Linked DNA regions of Elephas maximus indicus. The protein of the gene in region 1 interacts with the protein of each later gene in a biochemical or structural test. Links are inferred from orthologs where the notes say so. Each region holds a gene or a part of one and is shown in the gene's direction. Other genes may lie near its edges. The genes, in order: NFKB2 and BCL3.

Evidence for each region.
Region 2: the proteins of NFKB2 (region 1) and BCL3 form a complex in vitro, tested with the Homo sapiens proteins (2 studies listed by BioGRID). The link is inferred for Elephas maximus indicus from reciprocal best matches to the Homo sapiens genes NFKB2 and BCL3.

Annotation. Positions count from the first base shown.
Region 1 is NC_064834.1:53,957,753-53,969,702, forward strand, and holds the start of NFKB2 (nuclear factor NF-kappa-B p100 subunit), read left to right. Parts: upstream 1-7,111; 5' UTR 7,112-7,224; intron 7,225-8,334; exon of another isoform or gene 8,335-8,486; 5' UTR 8,487-8,556; coding exon 8,557-8,577; intron 8,578-8,921; coding exon 8,922-9,000; intron 9,001-9,116; coding exon 9,117-9,157; intron 9,158-9,412; coding exon 9,413-9,511; intron 9,512-9,590; coding exon 9,591-9,742; intron 9,743-10,007; coding exon 10,008-10,114; intron 10,115-10,212; coding exon 10,213-10,371; intron 10,372-10,657; coding exon 10,658-10,762; intron 10,763-10,904; coding exon 10,905-10,990; intron 10,991-11,095; coding exon 11,096-11,234; intron 11,235-11,460; coding exon 11,461-11,589; intron 11,590-11,708; coding exon 11,709-11,906; intron 11,907-11,950. UniProt on the Homo sapiens protein: NF-kappa-B is a pleiotropic transcription factor present in almost all cell types and is the endpoint of a series of signal transduction events that are initiated by a vast array of stimuli related to many biological processes such as inflammation, immunity, differentiation, cell growth, tumorigenesis and apoptosis.
Region 2 is NC_064829.1:104,957,167-104,968,381, reverse strand, and holds the start of BCL3 (B-cell lymphoma 3 protein), read left to right. Parts: upstream 1-6,741; 5' UTR 6,742-6,936; coding exon 6,937-7,192; intron 7,193-8,919; coding exon 8,920-9,073; intron 9,074-11,215. UniProt on the Homo sapiens protein: Contributes to the regulation of transcriptional activation of NF-kappa-B target genes. In the cytoplasm, inhibits the nuclear translocation of the NF-kappa-B p50 subunit.

The DNA of each region.
Region 1 (11,950 bases):
TTGGGCAGTGTCCTCGCCATAACTGCTCAAGGGAGACACCCAAGACAACCTGGGCTGGGGTCAGAGGGAAGATGAGTCAGAGCTGAGCTGCAGTTACTTAGAAGCTTTCCCTGCAGTGTGTCTCATGGTCCAGGTATACAAAGAAGCCCATGGGGCTTAGGAGTGGGGACCATCTTGCTCACAGCTGTGATTGTGTGCTTCTGGGCGTAAGACATTCATTTTAGCCTCAGAGAAGGAACAATTTCTTCCAGCCCCATAACCCTCATCCATTCCAATTACTGAGATGATACATGATTAGAGGGCTCCTCCCCTTCTTTCCCTGTGGGTGAGGGTAAGATAGGTAGGGGTGTACGTAGGGCAGGCAGTGTGGCCCCTGCGAGGAGTGGGCAGGGCTGAGGTGCTGTGGTTGGGAAGCAGAATGTTTTGTATTAAGCCTTCACACATGAAGCATCATCTTGGCTTCCCCCTCTCAGGGGGTGGGCAATGGTACCCTCTTTGTACTACCAGCTGGCTTCCCTCGTGGAGATTTAGGGGCACTCAGTCTCCCCACTGGGGCCCAACTGGCTGTATGATCATTCAGAACCTAAGGCTTCTCTTTGATCAGCACTTCCATGTGGGTGTTCCTGGGAATTTGGATGCCTGAAAGCACCTCCCTCAGGGGTGGAAAAGGGCCCCATGGAAATAGGAGCAGCCTGATGTGGAAAAAATACTAAGAGATGAGACCTAAAGCTCCTAGACTACATTCTCCCTCTTCCCTCCCTTCTTCCCCAAGTAGTCCAGACCATGCTCAGTTTCCACACTAACCAGAACCCTTGCCTGACCCCGACCCTGGGAAAAATTAGGAGGAACAGGGGATAAGGCTAGGGGCAGGGGGTAGAGCTAGGGGCTGTGATCTACAGCCACGTAGACACTAGAGTCCTTGGCCTCAGCTGTAGTGTCTCTGTCCAGAGCCCCACAGGCTCTGCCTTTAGACGCTTCCAGGGGGGTTTCCCTCTGAGGAAAACAGCGTTGGCTGCAGCCAAGCTATGAACAAAAGAATACGACAAGCCTATGTCCCTCAGCTGGTCTGCAAAAATTAGGAAAGAAGCTAGAGAGATTGCAAACTGACCCTCTCTCCTCTGGGTAGCAAAGAAAAACATTTGCCGGAAGTCTCCTTCTGTTACAAAAAGAGCAGCTGACACATGCATGACTTGTGTTGTTGACAGTGTTGTCTCTTAGAAGTCAGAGGAAGCTACAAGAGGAACTAATACTCAGACCTTAATTCTGACCTGACCGACAAGGAAGAATGGCTTGGTGACATGGAACTGACGGAAACCTTGAGGGAAAGTGATAAGTGTAGCTAGAGGGAAATGCTGATCATAATCACATCTGTCTCCCCTGAGAACTTGAGGAGACCAGGTGTCAGAAAGTCAAGAGGAAAGCTAGAGATGGCTCCATGACCTAAGACCCTCACATGGAGAATTGACATTTGTAGAGCACCATTATGTCTCAGTATTAAGTGCAATGCTCAAGCAACCTTTAAAGGTACTTACTTTTCTTACAGATGAGGAAACAAGTTCAGAGAGGTCAGGTCACTGGGAATTGAGGGAGTTGGGTCTCAAACCCAGGTCTCTCTCACTCCAAACATCACAGTCTTTCTTATAACATTTCCTCAGTTCAAAAATAATGGTGGTGGTGGTGCAGAAACCCTCTGAGTTACATTTTCTGTAGCTTCTAATGAGAAATATAAGGGTTGGGGCTCTGAAGAAACCACTGGCTGTACAGACTATTGCCTACTAAGCTCAGTTTAGTAGTCTATGAAAATTGGAAAGAGGTGCACATAACCAAGAATAAACGTGAATTTTTTTAGCCCATAAGAATGAGCCACAGTGGGCATATGCCCATCCAAAAAAAAAAACAACAACAAAAAATGTGGTTATTAGAGCCTGTGGATATTTACCTTTGTTCAGGGCTCACTGCTTGGGAGACAAGTCTCCATGAGGAAGCAGAACCCCTCAACCCCTGGGCTCCACTTGTGGAGAAGTAGCTTTAGTTCAAGTAAACAGTTGATCACTCCCTCCTTGAAATATTCTTCATTTGGCTTCTGAGAAACTCGTTTTTTTCTACCTCACTGACCACGCCTTTTCGATTTCCCATGTTGGCTCTGTTCATGACCTCTGAACATGAGAATGGCCCAGGACTCAGTCCTCAAATCCTCTATGCTCACTCTCTCGGTGATCCCATCCACTGCCGAGGCTCTGAATACTATCCATTACCCTGATTATATCCAATTCCCAACTTTGCATCTCCAGCCTGACTCCTCTCAACCCCAGACTCATATCCACTCGTCCCTCAACATCCCCATTTGCATGCCTCATGGGCATCTCAAATATAACAAATGTAAAGAGAAAAATTCTTGATTACCCCTACAAGTCTCTTCCTCTTCTGTTCTGCCCTGTACCAGGAAAGTGCAATTCCATTCTTCCCGATTCTTCTGCCAAAACCTCCCCTCTTTTTTTTACATCCTACATCCAAACCCTCAGCAACGCTTGTTGTTTCCATCTTTCGAATCTGTTCAGCGTCTGACCACTTCTCACCACTCTCACCATCCAAGCCACTATTTTTTGAACTCCTGGTCTCCCTTGGTCATCCTAGTCCTCTACACTCTACTCTCCACACGGCAGCCAAACGAAGCCTTTTAAAACATGTCACATCATTTTCACGCCACTGTACAAAACCCTCCAATAGCATTCCGTCTCATTCAGAATAAAACATTTACTTCATTCCACCTACCTGACCTCCTTGCTGTTCCTCAAATAAGCCAAACACATTCATATCAGACTATTGCAGTTGCTGTTCCATCACCTAGAATGCCCTTCCCCCAGATATCCACACGGCGGCCTGCCCTTCCCCCAGATACCCACACGGCGGCCTGCCCTTCCCCCAGATACCCACACGGCGGCCTGCCCTTCCCCCAGATATCCACACGGCGGCCTGCCCTTCCCCCAGATACCCACACGGCGGCCTGCCCTTCCCCCAGATACCCACACGGCGGCCTGCCCTTCCCCCAGATATCCACACGGCGGCCTGCCCTTCCCCCAGATACCCACACGGCGGCCTGCCCTTCCCCCAGATACCCACACGGCGGCCTGCCCTTCCCCCAGATACCCACACGGCGGCCTGCCCTTCCCCCAGATACCCACACGGCGGCCTGCCCTTCCCCCAGATACCCACACGGCGGCCTGCCCTTCCCCCAGATACCCACACGGCGGCCTGCCCTTCCCCCAGATACCCACACGGCGGCCTGCCCTTCCCCCAGATACCCACACGGCGGCCTGCCCTTCCCCCAGAAATCCACACGGCGGCCTGCCCTTCCCCCAGATACCCACACGGCGGCCTGCCCTTCCCCCAGATACCCACACGGCGGCCTGCCCTTCCCCCAGATACCCACACGGCGGCCTGCCCTTCCCCCAGATACCCACACGGCGGCCTGCCCTTCCCCCAGATACCCACACGGCGGCCTGCCCTTCCCCCAGATACCCACACGGCGGCCTGCCCTTCCCCCAGATACCCACACGGCGGCCTGCCCTTCCCCCAGATACCCACACGGCGGCCTGCCCTTCCCCCAGATACCCACACGGCGGCCTGCCCTTCCCCCAGATACCCACACGGCGGCCTGCCCTTCCCCCAGATACCCACACGGCGGCCTGCCCTTCCCCCAGATACCCACACGGCGGCCTGCCCTTCCCCCAGATACCCACACGGCGGCCTGCCCTTCCCCCAGATACCCACACGGCGGCCTGCCCTTCCCCCAGATACCCACACGGCGGCCTGCCCTTCCCCCAGAAATCCACACGGCGGCCTGCCCTTCCCCCAGATATCCACACGGCGGCCTGCCCTTCCCCCAGATATCCACACGGCGGCCTGCCCTTCCCCCAGATATCCACACGGCGGCCTGCCCTTCCCCCAGAAATCCACACGGCGGCCTGCCCTTCCCCCAGATATCCACACGGCGGCCTGCCCTTCCCCCAGATACCCACACGGCGGCCTGCCCTTCCCCCAGAAATCCACACGGCGGCCTGCCCTTCCCCCAGATATCCACACGGCGGCCTGCCCTTCCCCCAGAAATCCACACGGCGGCCTGCCCTTCCCCCAGATACCCACACGGCGGCCTGCCCTTCCCCCAGATACCCACACGGCGGCCTGCCCTTCCCCCAGATACCCACACGGCGGCCTGCCCTTCCCCCAGAAATCCACACGGCGGCCTGCCCTTCCCCCAGATACCCACACGGCGGCCTGCCCTTCCCCCAGATACCCACACGGCGGCCTGCCCTTCCCCCAGATACCCACACGGCGGCCTGCCCTTCCCCCAGATACCCACACGGCGGCCTGCCCTTCCCCCAGATACCCACACGGCGGCCTGCCCTTCCCCCAGATACCCACACGGCGGCCTGCCCTTCCCCCAGATACCCACACGGCGGCCTGCCCTTCCCCCAGATACCCACACGGCGGCCTGCCCTTCCCCCAGATACCCACACGGCGGCCTGCCCTTCCCCCAGATACCCACACGGCGGCCTGCCCTTCCCCCAGATACCCACACGGCGGCCTGCCCTTCCCCCAGATATCCACACGGCGGCCTCCCTCACTTGTTTCAAGTTCCTGTTCAAATGTTACCTCATCAGAGAGTCTTTCCCTGGCTGCTGTATAGAAAACCCTTGTCGCTATCCCCTTACCTGCTTTATTTTTCTCCGTAGTACCTGTCACCAGCACACATCTATTTGATTTTTGTCTGTCTCCCCTACTAGAATGCAAGCTCTCTGTAAGCAGGGATGTTGTTTTGTAGGGTGGGCCCTATCTGATGGTGAATGAATAGAGTGAATTTATGGTGCATCTGCTCTGGGCCAGGTGTTGTGCTAGAGCTGAGTGCAGAAACAGAGATGATTTTTATGTTGAAGATTGTGGAACAAACATAATGAAGCAGTTTCTTAAGTCCATTTAGGTGAGGCTATAGCAACAGATAATAAACTACTTTGAGTTATTAAAATCCCTACGTCTACATGGGTTGAGAATTATTGGAGCTGCTGATGGGTACATGGGGGTTCATTATACTATTCTCTGTACTTTTTATATGTTAGAAAAGTTCTATAATAAAGTCTTTTTTTTTTTTTTTTTTTAATCTCCAGATAAATTACAGCTCAGAATCTTGTAACTAAAACCACTCAGACCTTAGGAGCGCTTTTAGAGATGTGGGACTGGAAGGATTTGTGCCCATTTCTGCAGGTGGTATTTGAGCACTTTGAAAGGATGGTTGTATCAATGGCAGCCAGCACAGGTTCACGAAGTAGGCATATACCAACCTAACCTCATTCCATTTTAGTATAAGAGTTAAGAATATAAATTGCCAGGAGAATTTGGTAGACAATGTACCTGGATTTTACCAAATTATTTGACAGCATCTTATGATACTTGCTTGAGAGGCCCACCAAACCAAAAACCAAATCCACTGCCATCAAGTCCGTTCCGACTCATAGTGATCCTGTAGGACAGAGTAGAACTTCCCCATAGGGTTTCCAAGGCTGTAAATCTTTACAGAAGCGGACTGCCACATCTTTCGTCCACTGAGAGGACCACCAAAAACCAAACCAAACCTGTTGCTGCTGACTCATAGTGACCCTATAGGACAGAGTAGAACTGTCCCATAGCGTTTCCAGGGAGTGGTTGGTTGATTCAAACTGCTCACCTTTTGGTTAGCAGCCAAGCTCTTAACCACTGCACCACCAGGGCTCCTCTTAGAGAGGCCCACCAAACCAAAAAAACCCATTGCCGTGGAGTCAATTCCGACTCATAACAACCCTATAGTAGGGTGGAAAAGACTGCTTTGTTTTATATGTATTTAGGGGAAAGAACTTGGGCCTGGAGTCAACAAACTGGGTTTGTATCCTGGCTCTGTTCCTTTCTACCTGTGTGGTTGAGTTTACTTCTCTGAGCCTTCATTTTTTCCATCAGTAAAGGTAATATTTACCTCCTAGAGTTGTTGGGAAGAAGAATAAGAACTTATAATAAAGTACCTTAACACAGTACCTGGCACATTCCATTTGTGGACAAGACGAAGAGGAGAGACAAATAACAGGAAATGGCCCAAACCAAGGGCCATAAGAGCCTCCCTTTATTCAGTGCTAGTGCAGGCCCTCAGTTCCTTAAGAAGGTCAGCAGCAAGTTGCAGGAGAAACCTGAAAGGATGACTTCAGGAGGGAGATTACTCAGGGCGCCTCCGAAAGAGAGCCTCTACCAACCAGAGATGTCCAGCTACAAAGTCAGTGCTTTGGGAAATACTGTACTGTCCCTGCTGCTACTACGGTGTTCAAGCAGAAGTTGGGACGTATATAAGGTGATTTCCTCCCTCAGAAGAAGTTCAAGTTATTGACACTTTGGACACCTCTTCAATCCTAATATTCCAGATTGTGATGGGAGGGCGAGTCCTGAATCTCCCAAAAAATATTCTCCTTCCTGCGCGCAGAGCTCCATAGCTCAGGTCGCCCTGAAAGCCTGGCCCCATGTGAACCTGCCACTTAGTAAGGGGCCAAAAGAGCCGGAGGCTGAGTAAAGAGACTGAGCAAGAAAGGTTAGTCTCCTTGAGGCTCCGGTGCCTAAAGGGGCCGCCAGATGGCGCCCCGGGACCGACCGCAAGATCAGCTTTTTCCTCTTCCCCTAACTCTTCCCGGCAGCGGGGTCCCGCTCCGGGCGGGAGACTGGAGAGCTGAGGCCGACGGCTTCCCCCTGGGCTTCCCCGGCTTCAGATGTGGTCAAGCGTTAGGCACAACAGAAGCCCGGGCAGGTCCGGGCGGGCGAGGGGACCCGGGCCGGCCCTTGGCCGGTGTTGGAGCTGTGGCTGGTGCTCGGCCAACCGGTCCGGCCTCGGGCTAATCCCCGACCAGAGCCCAGTCTTGCGGACCGTCAATACCACGCCATTCTCCCAGCCCAACGTCAATCTTCGCCCTCTAGAGGGCGCTCCTGAATCGCTCCCGATTGGACGCGAGAGTCCGGGTGTTAAACTTTCGGCCAATGAAAAAGGGCATGGTGCGTGACGTACAGAAACGTCATGGGAATTCCCCCCTCCGGGGGGCGGAAAAGGGGCTTTCCCGGCTGGAACCCCGGTGGCTGGAGCCCTGGTGGCTGGAGCGGTGTCACGACCCGTCCGCGGCGGGTCGGGCCGGGAGAGGAGCAGGAACCGGAGCCGCCGCCTCTGTGAGTGACCGAGTTCACACCCTTGGGTGGCCCGGACCCGAGGAAAGGCGGGAGGAGGGCCTTTAACTGACTGAGCCCCAGGGCTAGAGATAGGCGCACACCCAGAGCAGACACACGAACGAGACACACGGATATACAGCCACATCCTTGTACGGAGACACGCGGACCTGAACATTCACCTGCTCTAATGCTGGCGTACGCAAGCAGCGTCCATGCACCGGGACTCGCACACACATGCACAGGCAGACCCGCTCACCCTTGCACCGTTGCTGGGACCCACGCCCTCCACGCACAAGCTCAGAGATCTGCTCACCTGTGCCGACATAGCAAGACATGCTTAGTCATGTGCCCACTCAGAGAAGCTTAGGGACGCTTACCTGCCCACAGACACATTCACTTGCACACGCATATTGACGCCGTGCACACACAGCATGCACCCGAGCACACGGGCCAAAACACACTTGTATACCTGTGATGGAGACCCACACCTGTGGGATTGGGGTGGGAAGAGTGCAGGGGTCTGCCCGTCTCCTCAGCACCCAGAGCCAGTGCGGTGTGAGAATCAACAGCCGTTGAGACGTTTCGGGGAGAGGGAAGGGGAGCCTGTCCCCAAGGAGAAGACGCCTCCCGCTGCGGTCCCCAGAGTTCCACTCTCAGGGCAGAACCCCGGGGCCCCCCGCTGGGAAGAACCCCGCCTACAGACCATTCAGAGTGGGGTCCTCCCTACAGCAGGAATGTCCCCCAAAAGCCCCCAGGGTGAATCAGCCGTGGCCTCCCTCCTGGCAGAAAATCCCAAGGCTGCTGCTCCAGGCCGTGGGAGGGGAGGGGGATGGGAGGCGGGCCTGGTCGCGGACTGGGAGCCTCCGCCGGCCGTGAAAGACCCTCAGGTCCCTGGCGCCTGCCCTGGAGGGCTTCCCTGGCTCTCCACACCCCCAGCCGGGTGAGAGGCTGCGGGTCCCAACAGCGGGGCCGGGGCCTCGCGCCCCTCCCGCCGCGGGGGCGGGGCCAGTGGCGTCATTTCCAGGCCCGCCCCCTCCGGCCCCGCCTCCCCCTGGTATTTTCGGGACTTTCCTAAGCTGCTCTAACTTTCCTGCCCCTTCCCCGGCCTAGCCCAGCTTCGGATCTCGCCCTCCACCGGATCTCGCCCGCCGCACTCGGACGGGCGGCTGGAGGAGATCGGACCCTCCCCCAAACCTGGGACCCCCCTCTCCCGCCCACCCCTGGCCTGATCCAGCTCTCCCGCCGTTCCCCTGCCCCCAAAGCGAGCACCTGAAACTCTAGGAAGCAGAACCCGGCTGAAGCTATAGACAGAGCCGGGCCCAGCCCAGAGACATGGACAGTTGCTACGACCCAGTGAGTCACGCCGCCTGGCCCGGACGCTGGCCGGCTACCTCCCTACCTCCCTGTCTGCTTGCGTGTTGCCGGAACCCCGTCTCTCCCCTGCAGCTGTCTGTCTGCCTCTGCGCTGATCTCAACCTGCCAGGCATCTATCTGCCGCCTCCTCCATCTGTCCTGCTCCCAGATCTCAGAGTGCCTACCCTAATGCCCCTCCAGGCCATCCTCTGCCTGCCTGTCTGCAAATTCTGCTTCCAAAGGCGCGTTCTTATGGGTCTAGAGAGAGGGTTTAGAGCCAGGAGGAGAAGGGCTCCGGGGAAGCTCTGAATCGGCCGCCCCTCCCCCCCATCTCTCCAAACTAGGCTCTGGATGGCATCATGGAATATGATTTCAAATTCAACCCTGCCATTGTGGAGCCCAAGGAGCCGGCCCCAGAGACAGGTTAGCAGGCTCCCTAACCGCCCTAGTCGGAGAGGGAGTAGGGAAAGAGGACCATGTGCCCTCTGCCTGGGGGAGGGGCTCATGGAGCCTGGCTCAGAAGGTCCCTCTGTCCCCAGCTGATGGCCCCTACCTGGTGATCGTGGAGCAGCCTAAGCAGGTGAGTGACCCGAGGGTATGGTGCGGGATGGCTGCAGCCTTGCAAGAGAGTGAGTAGTTGTAGTTGTGTAGCCATGTGAGATCACTGCCCAGGGAGGCCACTGAAGATTGGGATGGTTGACCACTGCTGATCACAGTGGTGTGATCGTGGTTTAGGGCAGATACTGCTGGTCACCATGGTCAGTGCTGGTCAGGAGTGTGGCTGGCCAGAGTGGTCTCTCCTGATCACACTGTTTCTCTGCCCCTGGACCTTCAGCGAGGCTTCCGATTTCGCTATGGCTGCGAAGGACCCTCCCACGGAGGACTGCCAGGTGCCTCCAGCGAGAAAGGCCGGAAGACCTATCCTACAGTCAAGGTGAGCCAAGGTGGTGCTGGAGGGTGGGTTAGTGGACAACATGTCCAGTAGCATCACTGACAGCCCTTGCCCCTCCCAGATCTGTAACTACGAGGGACCAGCCAAGATCGAGGTGGACCTGGTAACACACAGTGACCCACCTCGCGCCCACGCCCACAGCCTAGTGGGCAAGCAATGCTCGGAGCTGGGGGTCTGCACTGTGTCTGTGGGGCCCAAGGACATGACTGCCCAGTAGGTGTCCCTTACCCCTGGCCCCCACTTGTGTGCCCCCTCACTGCCTGCCAGTCCTGGGCCCCAACCCACCTCTGGGAGTTTAGCATCTGACCAAGAGGAAAGACTTAGGTTGGCCCCAGATCCTGAAGCCTCCGGGAAAAAGGAGGAAACCTTCCTTGAAGAAGTAGAGCTGAGCTAAGCTGAGCCCTGACAGTGGGGAGTGTGCTTCAGGAGGAAAGAACTGCATGGGCAAAGGCCTCTGACTCCCCTCCCCATCCTCCAGGTTTAACAACTTGGGAGTATTGCATGTGACCAAGAAGAACATGATGGAGATTATGACACAGAAACTTCAGAGGCAACGACTCCGCTCCAGGCCCCAAGGCCTCACTGGTAATGGGTGGGAGTAATGGGAGGTGGCCATGGGTGAGCAAGGAAGCAGGGTAGGAAGGAGGAAACGCCCAGGGATCACACATGTGCCCACTCCCCAGATGCTGAGCGGAGGGAGCTAGAGCAGGAGGCCAAGGAACTGAAGAAGGTGATGGATTTGAGTATCGTGCGGCTGCGCTTCTCTGCCTTCCTTCGAGCCAGTGATGGCTCCTTTTCTTTGCCCCTGAAGCCAGTTATCTCCCACCCCATCCATGACAGCAGTGAGTATCCTGACTGCCTGAGGGCCTGGACCTAGGTGGCCAAGGGAACATAGGGACAACCTCCAGCTATGGAGGCAAATAAACCTGAGTTTCAACCTGGCCTGAACCACGTTTGAGCTGAGTGACATTGAACAAGTCATTTCTCCCCTCTGAGTGTCTTTTCTGTTTTTGGTAAATGGGGATATGCGATTCCTGCATCTTGCAGTTAATGAATACAAAACACCTGGCTCCCTAAACAGGCCATGGCTATTATATCATCTGAACTAATCCCTGCTTTGTTCCCTAGAGTCTCCTGGGGCCTCGAATCTGAAGATTTCGAGAATGGACAAGACAGCTGGCTCTGTGCGGGGTGGAGACGAAGTTTATCTTCTTTGTGACAAGGTGCAAAAAGGTGAGGCTGGAGCTCAGGCTGGGAGCTTGGGATACTGGGTATCAAGATGGAGGGCCAGGGCCGGGCAGGCAGGGTAGCTCCAGGACAAGTAGCCCTGGAGACTCTACCTGGAGCTGTGGCCAGGTTTCAGTCTTCTCTTTAGATGACATTGAGGTTCGTTTCTACGAGGATGACGAGAATGGATGGCAGGCCTTCGGGGACTTCTCTCCCACAGATGTTCACAAACAGGTATACAGGGAGCGAGGACTGGGGGGTACACAGGGAGGCCAGGACTGAGGCACGGGGCTGAATTAGGCGAAGGCCTCACTGACACCCTGTATGTCCCTTCCCCAGTATGCCATTGTGTTCCGGACACCCCCCTATCACAAGATGAAGATTGAGCGTCCTGTCACCGTGTTCCTCCAACTGAAACGCAAGCGTGGGGGGGATGTCTCTGACTCCAAACAGTTCACCTATTACCCACTGGTAGAAGGTAGAGCTGAGCTAGTGGGACTGGGAGCTGGGCTGGAGGGCTCCAAGAGCTAGACTAGGGGACCCATGAGCTAAGTTAAGGGTGGGGAGAGTTCAGTCTGAGGGCTCTAGCTGAAGGCTTTTTGGGGACGAGCCCTAACCAAGCTTGGGGAAGGGCTCTGGAGACGTGGCCTATGAATTGGGTTATAACATCCCATTTCCCCCTGTCCTTTTATTTTTTTTTTCAGACAAGGAGGAGGTGCAGCGGAAGCGGAGGAAGGCCTTGCCCGCCTTCTCCCAGCCCTTCGGGGGTGGCTCCCACATGGGTGGAGGCTCTGGAGGCTCTGCTGGAGGTTATGGAGGAGCTGGAGGAGGAGGTGAGGGAGTGCTGGTGGTGGGAAGAGGGATGGAGGAGGGAGAGATGAAGAGAAGCTGGGGAAAGAAGCCTGGAGCTCTGGTTGGTGCCCCTTCCCCACAGCCCTGCCTGTACCCACAGGTGGCAGCCTCGGCTTTTTCCCTTCCTCCTTGGCCTACAGCCCCTACCAGTCCGGCGCGGCCCCAATGGGCTGCTACCCGGGAGGCGGGGGCGGGGCCCAGATGGCCGGCTCGGCGCCTGGCGTAGATGCTGGGGAGGAAGCCGCAGAATCGAGCGCGCCCCAGCGGGAGCCGCCGGGCCCAGAGATGCTAGCTCAAGGTACGGCCTCCCGAATCTGGGCGGTCACCACGACGGGGTGGGGA
Region 2 (11,215 bases), on another chromosome or scaffold:
GTGCCCTTGACTGGCAACTAAGGCACACCTTGAAGAAGCCGATCGCCCGGCATCTAGCTAAGCCACAAGTCCTTTCTCGAAGGGTGATCTGAGGGGAGCAGCAACATGGCTGCCACTCCCTTATCCCATATTAATGACAACAAGCATTTAAAAAGAATATCTTCCATTCACAGAGAGCTTACTCGGTGCCAGGCCTGCCTGCACCAACATGTGTTAATTCATTTGATCCTCGAAACAACCCCAAGAGGAAGGCATTGGTTTCGCCCCCATTTTATAGATGAGGAAACTAAAATTCAAAGAGGGTAAGTCACTTGCCCAAGGCCACACAGCTGGTAAGTGGCAGAGCTGGGATTCCCACTCAGACAATCAGAGAGCATCATTGGAAGGTGAGGACAACGAGACCCAGTGTTGTGTGGCCTCACTGTCCACCATCACTTCCTTGGGACTCCTCTGCCCCACAGCTGACCTTCCCAGATACCTCTGGGGCAGATGATGGTCCCCCTTTCCCTGAGTCACCCCCGTCTGATCGAAGCACTGAGTGGGCCGAGCGGGAGAGGGGGAGCGGAGGGTGCCCAACCTTCCTAGAGAGAATGTTGCAATCCTCTGACTCAGCGTCGTGCGTGCAGACCCAGCTTGAGGGAGAAAGGGGAAGATTAAGTCTTGGCCCAGGTCCCAGATGGGTTGGTCCCACTTGGTGCCTGGGGATGGGGCAGCTGCCAAGGCCCCAGGGCGGGGAGGAACCAGGAGGTTCAGGCCATGCTCCAGGAACCTGGCCTGCATTCACCCCTGGGGGTGGGGTAGGTAGGGCTACCTCAGGGGCAGAGCAGTGGGTAGATCCAGGGTAGACTTCCAGTCCTAGGCCAGATGGCAGGCTGTGTACTCTGAGCAAGTCCCTCCCCATCTAGGCTCAGAGCCTCTGGTTTCCTCTGCCTGCAGAATTCATTTGCTCTCCGTGAGCCTCCCTGGACCCTGAAGTCTAACTCTACTCCCTCCTGCTGCAATGTGTCCCACTTTCCACCTGCTGGACCCTGCCTGTGACTGGAGGCAGCAGAGGAGCCCTACAGAAAGTGTGGACCATTCTAAACCCTGCAGGTGCCCTTGGGCACTTAACTTTGCTCCTCCATGCCTCTGTTTCCCCACCTAAACTATTCCTTCCCACGGAGTAACAAAACAATTGCTGCTGAGTCAATTTCAACTCATGGCAACCCCAGGTGTGTCAGAGTAGAACTGTGCTCCATAGGGTCTTCTTTTCCTTTCTTACTTTTTTTTTTTGACACTTAAAAATGTTTATTATTTCACTTAAAATACCAACAATACACACATTACATGTTAAAATAAATTAACATTTTTTTCTTGAGGAGTAATTATTTTCCAAAACTAAAAAAATAAACTAGTAGTAAGAGTGCCATTGTTTTACACTTTTACAAGTCTTTCTAAAGTCTGGCTTAACAGAGTACAGAAGGACTCTCTAATTGGCTGCTGCATTCAGTCTGTTACAATATGTTGTTTTGCTTTTCATGAAGTTCGCAGTGGCTGATTTTTTAGACGTAGATCACCAGGCCCTTCTTCTAAGGCACCTCTGGGAGGACTCGCACCTCCTAACTTTCATTTAGAATTAGAGCTGGGGAGAAGTTTCCTGAATACAACCAAACACTTTGAGGGACAGAGTAGCCAGGGCAGAGGTCTGGGGACTGTGGTTTCAGGGGACATCTAGGTCAACTGGCATAACAAAGGGTATTAAGACAACGTTCTGCATCCCACTTTGGTGAGTGGCATCTGGGGTCTTAAAAGCTAGCAAGTGGCCATCTAAGATGCATCAATTTGTCCCAGTTCACCTGGAGCAAAGGAGAATGAAGAACACCAAATACACAAGGAAAATATGAGCCCAAGAGACAGAAAGGGCCACATAAGCCAGACTCCATCAGCCTGAGACCAGAAGAACTAGATGGTGCTACCAATGACTGCCTTGACAGGGAACACAACAGGGAATCCCTGATGGAGCAAGAGAAAAGTGGGATGCAGACCTCAAATTCTAGTAAAAAGACCAGACTTAATGGTCTGCCTGGGACTGGAGGGACCCCAGAGGTCATGATCCCCAGACTCTCCGTTAGTCCAACATTGAAACCATTCCCAAAGCCAGCTCCTCAGACAAAGATTAGACTGGATTGTAATCCATAATATGATACTGGTGAGGAGTGTGCTTCTTAGCTCAAGTAGACACATGAGACTATGTGGGCAGCTCCTGTCTGGAGATGAGATGAGAAAGCAGAGGGGACAGGAGCTGGTAAATGGACACAGGAAATACAAGGTGGAGAGGAGTGAGCTGTCACATTGTAGGAGAGCAACTAGGGTCATATAACAATGTGTGTGTAAGTTTTTATATGACAGACTGACTTGAATTGTAAACTTTCACTTAAAAGCATAATCTAAAAAAAAAAAATTAGGGTTACACAGGCCTGGCTTCAAATCTCGGCTTTTCCAGTTCCTCACTGTGTGACCCTGGGCAATGATTTCACTTCTCTGTGCCTCAGTCCCCCTTTCTGCAAATGAGATTTTAGGGAATTATAGGTGAATTAATTCTCAAGGTGTTGAGAGGAGCCAGTAAGCCTAGCTCAGCCCACCCATGGTTAATGGACCCTTCTTGTCTCATCTCTGGGTGGGAAAGGGTGACAAGGAAGCCCTGGCCTGATGGATAAGGTGAGGATTAAGGAGGTGGTATGGAGACAGGAATGAACACGATTCATTCAGTCAGTCAGTCCACAAAATTCTCAACCTGCTCAGCAACCCCGTGAGGCATGAGCTGTTGTCACCAACTATTCAAGGCACAAGGAAGGCACAGACAGGGGAAGCCACCTGCCCAAGGTCACATAGCCAGCGTATGGCAGAGCCAAAACCAAACCAAACCCATTGCCATCAAGTCAATTCCAATTCATAGTGACTGTATAGGACAGGGTAGAACTTTCCCAGTAGGGTTCCCAAGGCTATCACCTTTACAGAAGCAGACTGCCACATCTTTCTCCCATGGAGCTGCTAGTGGGTTCGAACACATGGACCTTTCGGTTAGTAGCCAAGTGCTTAACCATTGCACCATCAGGGCTCCTAGGAAGCAACTGAGCCAGGGCTGAAATCCAAGTCTCTAAACCTAGCATGGTGAATCCCAATTTCCCTAATGAAATGGGTCCTGCTGCTGAAAACATGGGTTAACTGATAACAATGATAATAATAACCATAGCAATACTAGCAGCTACACTGCACTGAACACTTTCTACACATCAGGCCCTGGAGGACAAAAGCATATTTTCTCAGTTTGGTCCATTTTATAGATGAGGAAGCTGAGGCTCCATGAGTTTAAACAACTGCCTGGAAATCACAAAGCACTGACAGAAGGAGGCACGGCTTGTACCTAGTTCTCAGTTTGAAGCAAGGCAGGACAAGACCCAGGAATTGAGCCGGATGGGAACTTAGGGTCTGATCAGCTCTACTTTCTCCTCTTAGAAGGGGAAACTGAGGTCAGAGGACAAGAAAGCCCCAGGCCCATAGGCTTCTAGACAGGACTTTATTACCCTCTCAGGATTTTAATCAGGTAAGATCTTGGCCTTTCCTTCCCCAGGAAGGGTTAGAGTAGGAGGAGGGGAGAAGAGGCAGTAGGGCGGAGGAGAAGACAGAAACAGGTACAAGGGGAAGCCTGCGTGAGGGAAAGTGGTTAGATTCCAAGCAGACTTCCGGGTCTTTTCTGGGAAGTTTCCGGGACTCATCCAGGGGCTGCCCCAGCCAGCAGGGGAGGTGGGGGCTCCAGAGCATGAAGCCCAGAGAGGGGTGCAAGGAGTGAGGGGGGAAAAGAGGGGGTGACCATCCTGGTTCTGCATCCTCCATTCCCGACACTGGCAGGAGGTGGCTGTGGAAGCTGGGACTTTCCTGAGCAGCAGAAGATTCTGGGAAATTAGACAGTTGCAGGGCGGGGCTGACTCCCAGTCTCCCTTCCCTTCCCTTCCCTCCCCTTGGTCCCTGCCGGTTCTCCAGGCACACCTCTCTTTCCCTCTGCCCCAAGGAGGCCCTCCTCAAATTGCTCCTCCTCCCTCAGACCAAGCCCTCAACCCTCAAGCCTTCTCTCTCACACTGCTCCTCCTCCCTCCCTTAGACCTTGTCCCCCTTCCTCAGATCCTCATCTCCTCCCTCAGTCTCTTACCTCCTCCCTCAGACCCTCACCTCTTCCTTCAGACTCTTATCTCCTTCCTCAGACCCTTACCTCTTCTTTCACACCCTCTCCTTCTCCCTGAAGGCCTGTCCTCTCTCAGATGTTCATCTTCTCCCTCAGACTCTCACCTCCTCTCTCAGATTCTCACATCCTTCCTCAGACCCTCTCCCTCAGCCCTGTTCCCCTCCCTCAGAACCACACCTCCATTATACCTTCTCCCCTCCCTCAAACCCTCACTTCCTTCCTCGGACTATCACCTCCACACCACCTCCCTCAAATCTTCACCTCCTTCCTCAGACCGTCTCCCTTAGACCATCTGCCTCTCTCAGACCTGTCTTTCTCCTTCAGGCCCTCCTCCCTCAGACCCTTCTATCCCTCACCCTCTCTATCTCTAACCCTCTGGGCCAAGTGCTGAAACTCCCAACCCCAGTCCTACCTGGGCCCAGGCCCTTTGCACCACCTGCCACAGGGTGCTGGGGAGCAGGAGGAACCTGGGTGTCTTTCTAACCGTAACTCTTAGGGTCACCACCTTCACAAGCTCTGCCTCCCTGAACCTCGGCTTCCCTTTCCGTACAATGAGGCAGTGTCCCACACCACATCCCTCCCGTGTGTTTGAGGATTCCCAGAGGAGAGGACTGGGTGGGCTGGGAAGGTGGGCAGGGGATAGACTTCCCTTGTTGTAGCCCCCACAATACCGGGAGGCAGGGGTTGACGTCAGCCCCATTTTCCAGAAGAAGTTGAGACTCAGGAGAAGGGGTGGACTGTCTGAAGTCACACCTCAGACAGAGAAATAACACCAGACACACCAACAGGCCAGAGACAGAGTGACCAAGGGGGTGAGGGGGTAGTCCGACTTTGTGTCTATGTCTTTGTCTCTGGGTTGCTCTCTCTCCCACTGGGAGGCAATTCCAAGAGGCCCTGGAGTCACTCACTTTCCCCTCCCATTTCCTCTGAGCAAGGAATGAGATGGGATTTGAACCCAGATCTGTGAGCCCAGATGCTTCACCCTATATGCGCTGGGAGGCATATAGAGAGGACAGATCAGGCAAAGGGTGAAGCTTCCCTCTGCCTACATCTGAGCCCACATCCCAGGTTAACCATCCACTGGGGTGAGGCCCGTCCTGGCCAAAGTCCCTTCCCAGCGCCGGGGCCCACACCCACTTTCACGGTCCTAGGGAGATGCTTCCGGGGAGACAGAGACAAGATCAGGCAGAGATGGAGACCCAGACAGTGCCATAGGGTCGCAAAAGACAGAGACAAAAGAGACGTGGGCCGGGCCAGTGACAATGTGAGGGGACAAGGGAGGCCAGGGATAGAGGTACGGGGTTGACAGAACCAGGGAGACCCCGCATGCCGCCTTGGCAGATCCGGGGCGCAGCCCCCATCCCCTGCCCCCCTGGGTCCGCAAGCCCTCCCCCTCTGCCTCCCTGGCCTCATTGACCGGGACTCAACCCCAGCGGCGGCCCCGCCCCCAGGGAAATCCGGGAAAGCCCCGGCCGCCGAGCCCCTCCCCCGGGCGGGGCGAGAGGAGGAAGGGACAGGGAGGGGACAGGAGAGGAGACGAGGAAGGGGCTGCCTCTGTCCCCTCCCTCCCCGGCAGCTCTGGCGGGTCTGAGTCATGCCCCCGACCCGCTCGGCTGGTTCCCCACGAACCAGCCCCTCCCCGGTGGGAGGGGAAAGTGGGGGCACTGAGGGGAGTCAGACTGCCTCTCCCCTCCTGGGCCTAGTCCTTGGTCGCTTTGTCTCTGGCCTACTGGTCTCTTCTTATTTCTCGATCTCTCTCTTCCTCTGTCTTCTTTGATCTCCATGTCTCTCTCTGTGTGCACCTGAGATTCTTCGAGAACACACCCTGTGCCCCCTGGGCCGGGCTAGGTTCAGGGACCCCGCACGGAGGAACACATTTAATGTTTCTCCATGCACCCCACGCCACCCCAGTCACAATTGGTACGTGGGGGCAGGGGAGGGTCAAGGAAGAGTTCCTGAGTGCGTGCTGAGCTCCAGCCCCTGCCCTGGGTGCGCCTTTTCACTCCCACAAAGGAGGAAACGGCTGGGAGAGGGAAGTGCCTGGTCAAGGTCAGCCAGGGAGGAAGTGGGAGTCAAGATTCGAACTTGCGTCCTAGCGACACCAGGGCTTCTTGCAATTGCTTTCCAGGGGGAGACAGAGACAGAGATAAAAACCGAGAGGCAGTTTTTTTTTTTTTTTAGCGAGATAGTACGCGACACAAAGGGACTATAGAGAGAGATAGAGATACAAAAAAAAAAGTGACAGACTGAGACTCTGAGACACCTATTAACAGGGAAGAGAATCATTGACAGAGACTCGGAGAGGCCGAGATATAGAGACATAGCCAGAGAGACAAAAACACAGAGCCAGACATTGAGAGGCCCGCAGCCGCAGGGCTGGGGGTACCTTCTAACCCCAGCCTCCTGCGAGGCGGAGTCGCCGGGACGCCGGGGCCGAGAGGGGGCGGGCGCGGGGCGCGGCGAGGGCGGGGCGCGCGGCGGCTGCACCGCGGGGCGGCGGGAGCGCAGCGGGTCCAGGAAACCCCTGGGACGGACGGGTGGCCCCGGGGGGGCCGGGGGCGGGGAGGCGGGCGGCCGGCACCGCCCCGGCCGACAAAAGTCCCTTCAGTTCAGCCGGCGGCAGGGGAAGTCCCGGCGCTCGGAGAAACCAACCCTCCGGTGCCGCCGAGCAGAGCCGCGCTCCGGCCGCCCGTTCGGCCGCCGTCGCCGGCGGCCCCATGCCCCGATGCCCCTCGGGGGCCATGGACGAGGGGCCCGTGGACCTGCGCACCCGGCCCAAGGCCGCTGGACCCCCTGGCGCAGCGCTGCCGCTCCGCAAGCGCCCGCTGCGCGCGCCCTCCCCGGAGCCCGCCGCCCCCCAAGCAGCCGCGGGCCCTGGGGTCCCCCCGGAGTCCCTCTGTTGCGGCCCCGAGGCGCCAGTCGTCCCTGGACCCCCCCACGGCCTGCACCGGCCGGAGGCGCTTTACTACCAGGGTGAGTGGACCCGGCGAATCAGGGCCAGGTGGGGGTTGCACAGGGCGTAGGGTCGTCCCTAGGGCCGTGTGCAGAGCTCAGGACAAGTATATGGAGTCCCGGGGAGCTGGGGGACAGGAGTACAGAACCCAAAGTTCCAGGGACACAGATATGGAGGTCCCAGGGAGCTGGGGGGCAGGGGAGCTGGGGTGGCACAGATATGGGGAGCCAAGGTATAGTGCTTAGCAATACATATATGGGGGTCTCATATGGGGGTCTTGGGGAGTCAGAAGGTAGAGTCTGGGGTCCCAGGGACACAGATAGATATGACGGTCCCATAACTACAAAATCTCAAGAACTCAGATAATCTAAGGTTATGAGGAGTCAGGGCCTGGACCTAAGAAACTTCGGTTCCTGGGATCCAGATATGTGGGGTCAAAAGCAATCTAGGGAACAGAGACTGGGGTTCTAAGGAGGCAGATATTAGAGGTCCTGGGATGTCAAAATTTCAGGTACCCAGATATCAGAAGACATGAGGAATTAGGATAGCTGAGTTTGGGGTTCTGAGTACCCCACTATCTGGGATCCCAGGGATCCAAGGAAACACCGGAATTCCAGGGACCCAGATACTGGAGGTTCAAGGAGCCAGAGGGACAGAGAACCAGGGTTCTGGACACCCAGTTATGTGTGGTCACAAGTGATCAGGGTCCCATCTGGGTCACAAGGGCAGGGTGTGGGTACAGAGGGTTCTTGGAATGGGCGGCAGGACTGAGGAATTCTGGGACTCAAGGATTTAGGGCCAGGATGAGAGATTCAGGGGTCTCCAGAAAAAGGCACCAGAGACCTAAGGCCTGGTATTGGATATGCAGGGACCTGGAAGCTTGGGGGTCCAGGAATGGAGGGTCCCCAAGGATAAGGGAATATCAGAGAAGGTCATGCGCCAATCTCCCCATCCCGTCTGCATTACCCACTGTGCCCATGTCACCATTCCCCAAGTGACCCCAAAAGCTGCAGAGAGCCCAGATTTGCCCCCTCCCCAAACCTTAGCCAAGTTTCTGCACCTTCCACTCCATCAGAGTGCAACAGATAAAGAGGCTCAAGCTGTGCATCAGAAAGCCTGGCACTGCCTCCCCACCCTTTCCCATTCCCTGGGTGTGAACCTGGGCCTCAGTTTTTCCCATCTGTGCAATGGGTGGATGTGGATTAGACTGCTGCCATGGATAAGTCGGAATTGACTTGAAGGCAACAGGTTTGTTTTTTTATGGTCCCTTCCAACCATTGAATCTGGACAGGCTTCTGATGCCACCCCCTCTTACCCTCTGACCCTCTCCTCTCCTCTCCCCAAACCTTCTACACATACACCCCACACTCTTTGCCCAGTTCTCCATCCATTCCTTATCTCTCTTGGCCATAAATTCACTTAGCAAACAGGCCCTGGCGTTTCCCTGCTGGATGATGTTGGGGGATTGGTCCACACCCTTAAGGGATTCTTTTTCTAGCAGGAGATGAGATTCAGTTAAATGACAATGAGGGTGACCAAGACTGGGGGTGTTATGGAAGCCAGAAGGGAGGGATGGGGAAAGGGGGTTTGTCTTGGCCTTGTCCTGGGACTTGAGGACCCAGTATGAGATTGCAGAAAAACTGGAGATGAAAGTCAGACTGCACTGCAAAGCCAAGAGATGGGGAGTGGGTTAAGGGTCTCTGGGCTTGGCCTCACCTACATCTTTTCTCTGTTCCCCACTACCCAGGACCTTTACTACCCCTGTACTCCACCCCAACCATGGGCTCCCCCTTTCCACTGCTAAGCTTGCCTGCCCCCCTGTACCCCATCATGTGCTCAGTGGAACACCCCCTGTCAGCCGACATCGCCATGGCCACCCGTGCAGATGAGGACGGAGACACGTAAGTGACAGTCCCCCACTAATGGAGGGCAGGTAGGGAGGCCAGCCCTCCACCCACCTCACCCACAACACACGGGCACTCAGCTTGGGCTTTTGCATCACCAGGACCTGAGTTAGAATCCCATCTCCACTGCTAGCTGGGTGACCTTGAGCAAGGCCCTTCCCCTCTCTGAGCCTCAGTTTCCTCTAAAAAATGGGTACCCTGACAGCAGTTCCTCCTTAGAACTGTTTTTGGAATCAGAGGCTTCCAATTTTTTTATCACAACTCAAAAGTAAGAAATGCATTTCAGTGATTGATTTATTACATGAATTATACATGTAAAGCTCCTAGCACTGGGCCTGGTATATTGTAAGTGCTCAATGTTGTTAGTTGCCATCGACTTGATTCCAACTCATGTGTGCAGAGCAGAACTGCTCCATTGGATTTTCAAGGCCGTGACCTTTTGGAAGCAGACCACCGGGTCTGTCTTCCAAGTTGCCTCTGGGTGGGTTTGAACCACCAACCTTTTGGCTAGTAGTCAAGCACTTAATGGTTTGTACCACCTGGGGACTCCTTATGTGCTCAATAAGTGTATATTATTATTACTGCTACTTTATATCAAATCCAGCATGCCCATAATACATACCCACAGATACTTGAACTAAAAATTGCACAAAACAAAACAATATTCATCCAAACTCCATAGGATCTACTTTGATGTTTTCTATCCTAGTCTGTTTCATTGTTTTTCTGCTGGCCACAATCCACTAAATTAATTTGAAGACCCCCTAAATTTCACAACCCCCATGCTTTTTCACCTGCAATTGGAAGAAAGTTCCAGCTTTCATGAGTCTGCTGTGCAATCCTGCAGGGAGAATTTAGCCCTATACCATCAATACACTTGACCATCATGATTACTGGTATTCTGTCCACCTAGGTTTGAATCTCAGCTGGCCACTTTCTCACCCCCCTGTGCCTCAGTTTCTCCATTTAAAAAAAAAAAAACCCAGGAACCATAAATGTGTGAGGATCTCTGTGAGGAAGAAATGAGATTATTTCTAGAAACTGCCCATCTGGGAATTGGTTTTGGGGACTGGAAACCACACATAGGCTGAACAGGCCCATTTCTGCAGGATGGAAGACCACCGCTGGTCTACTGGGTGACTTCACCTCCCTGAGCCTCAGTTTCCCTGTCTGGAAATCAGGACTCATAACAGCCCCTCTCGCAATTAGGATTCAGTGCAATGGTGTACACATATGGTGCAGAGAACAGGGCCTGGCAACACAGTAACCACTCAATACGTGGGAGTTGGTGTTGACTGAACAGAGGTCCCAGTAGTCGTGGGTAGTTATGGGCCATCCCTGTGAGGCGAAGCAGGAGAAAGTGTTGGAGATCTAAAGAGCTCAACAAAACCTTGTTCCCCGCCTAGGCTCAGTGCCCCTGGGGGTCATCTTGTATCTGCCCCCAGGGGTGACCTGTTGTGGCCTGTGAAAGCAGTCTCCAGCCCTAGACCCGCGCCCCACCCGCCCTCCCCCCAACGCAAACACTTCTGCCTCAGCTGCCTGTTGGGGGAAATCCCTTCCCGCAGAACTTGACCGCAGCCCAGCTGCTCTGCCTCCCCCCACGTCAGCACCCCGTCACTCACTAGCAACCTTCCCCCTCCTGACTCTCCCTCAAACCTTAACCCCTTCCGCTGGGGCCGAGACTTTACCGGAACGGGCAGCTGTCCCAGCCCCAGACTGCGCCTTGGCCCCACTTAAAGCTTGGGGAGGGGGGCGGCGGGGGAGGAGAGGGCTGGGACCTTGTCTGAGTCCCCCAGTTAGCAATGGTTGGGACGCTGGACTTCTAGGTCTTCAGGGGAACAAGAGTCTCACGGTATCTGAACCCCCCTCCCCCCCCCAGAGGTCAGGGGACATGTTGTGAATCCCAGAGAGCAGAGGTTGGAGTGCTGTACTCCTGGATCCCCAAGGAGGTTAAGGAACATGATGACGAACTCCGAGGGGGCCTAGAGGCAGGGCCCAGTGCAAATGATTGTGTAGGATCCCTTGTTCAAAAAGAATTTCAAGGCAGCTGCAGCAGAGCATTAAAACAAGCGTGGGCCCTTCTAAGCGTGGGGCCCTGTGCAAACTGCACAGATCGCATTCCTGTGAAGGCGGCCCTGC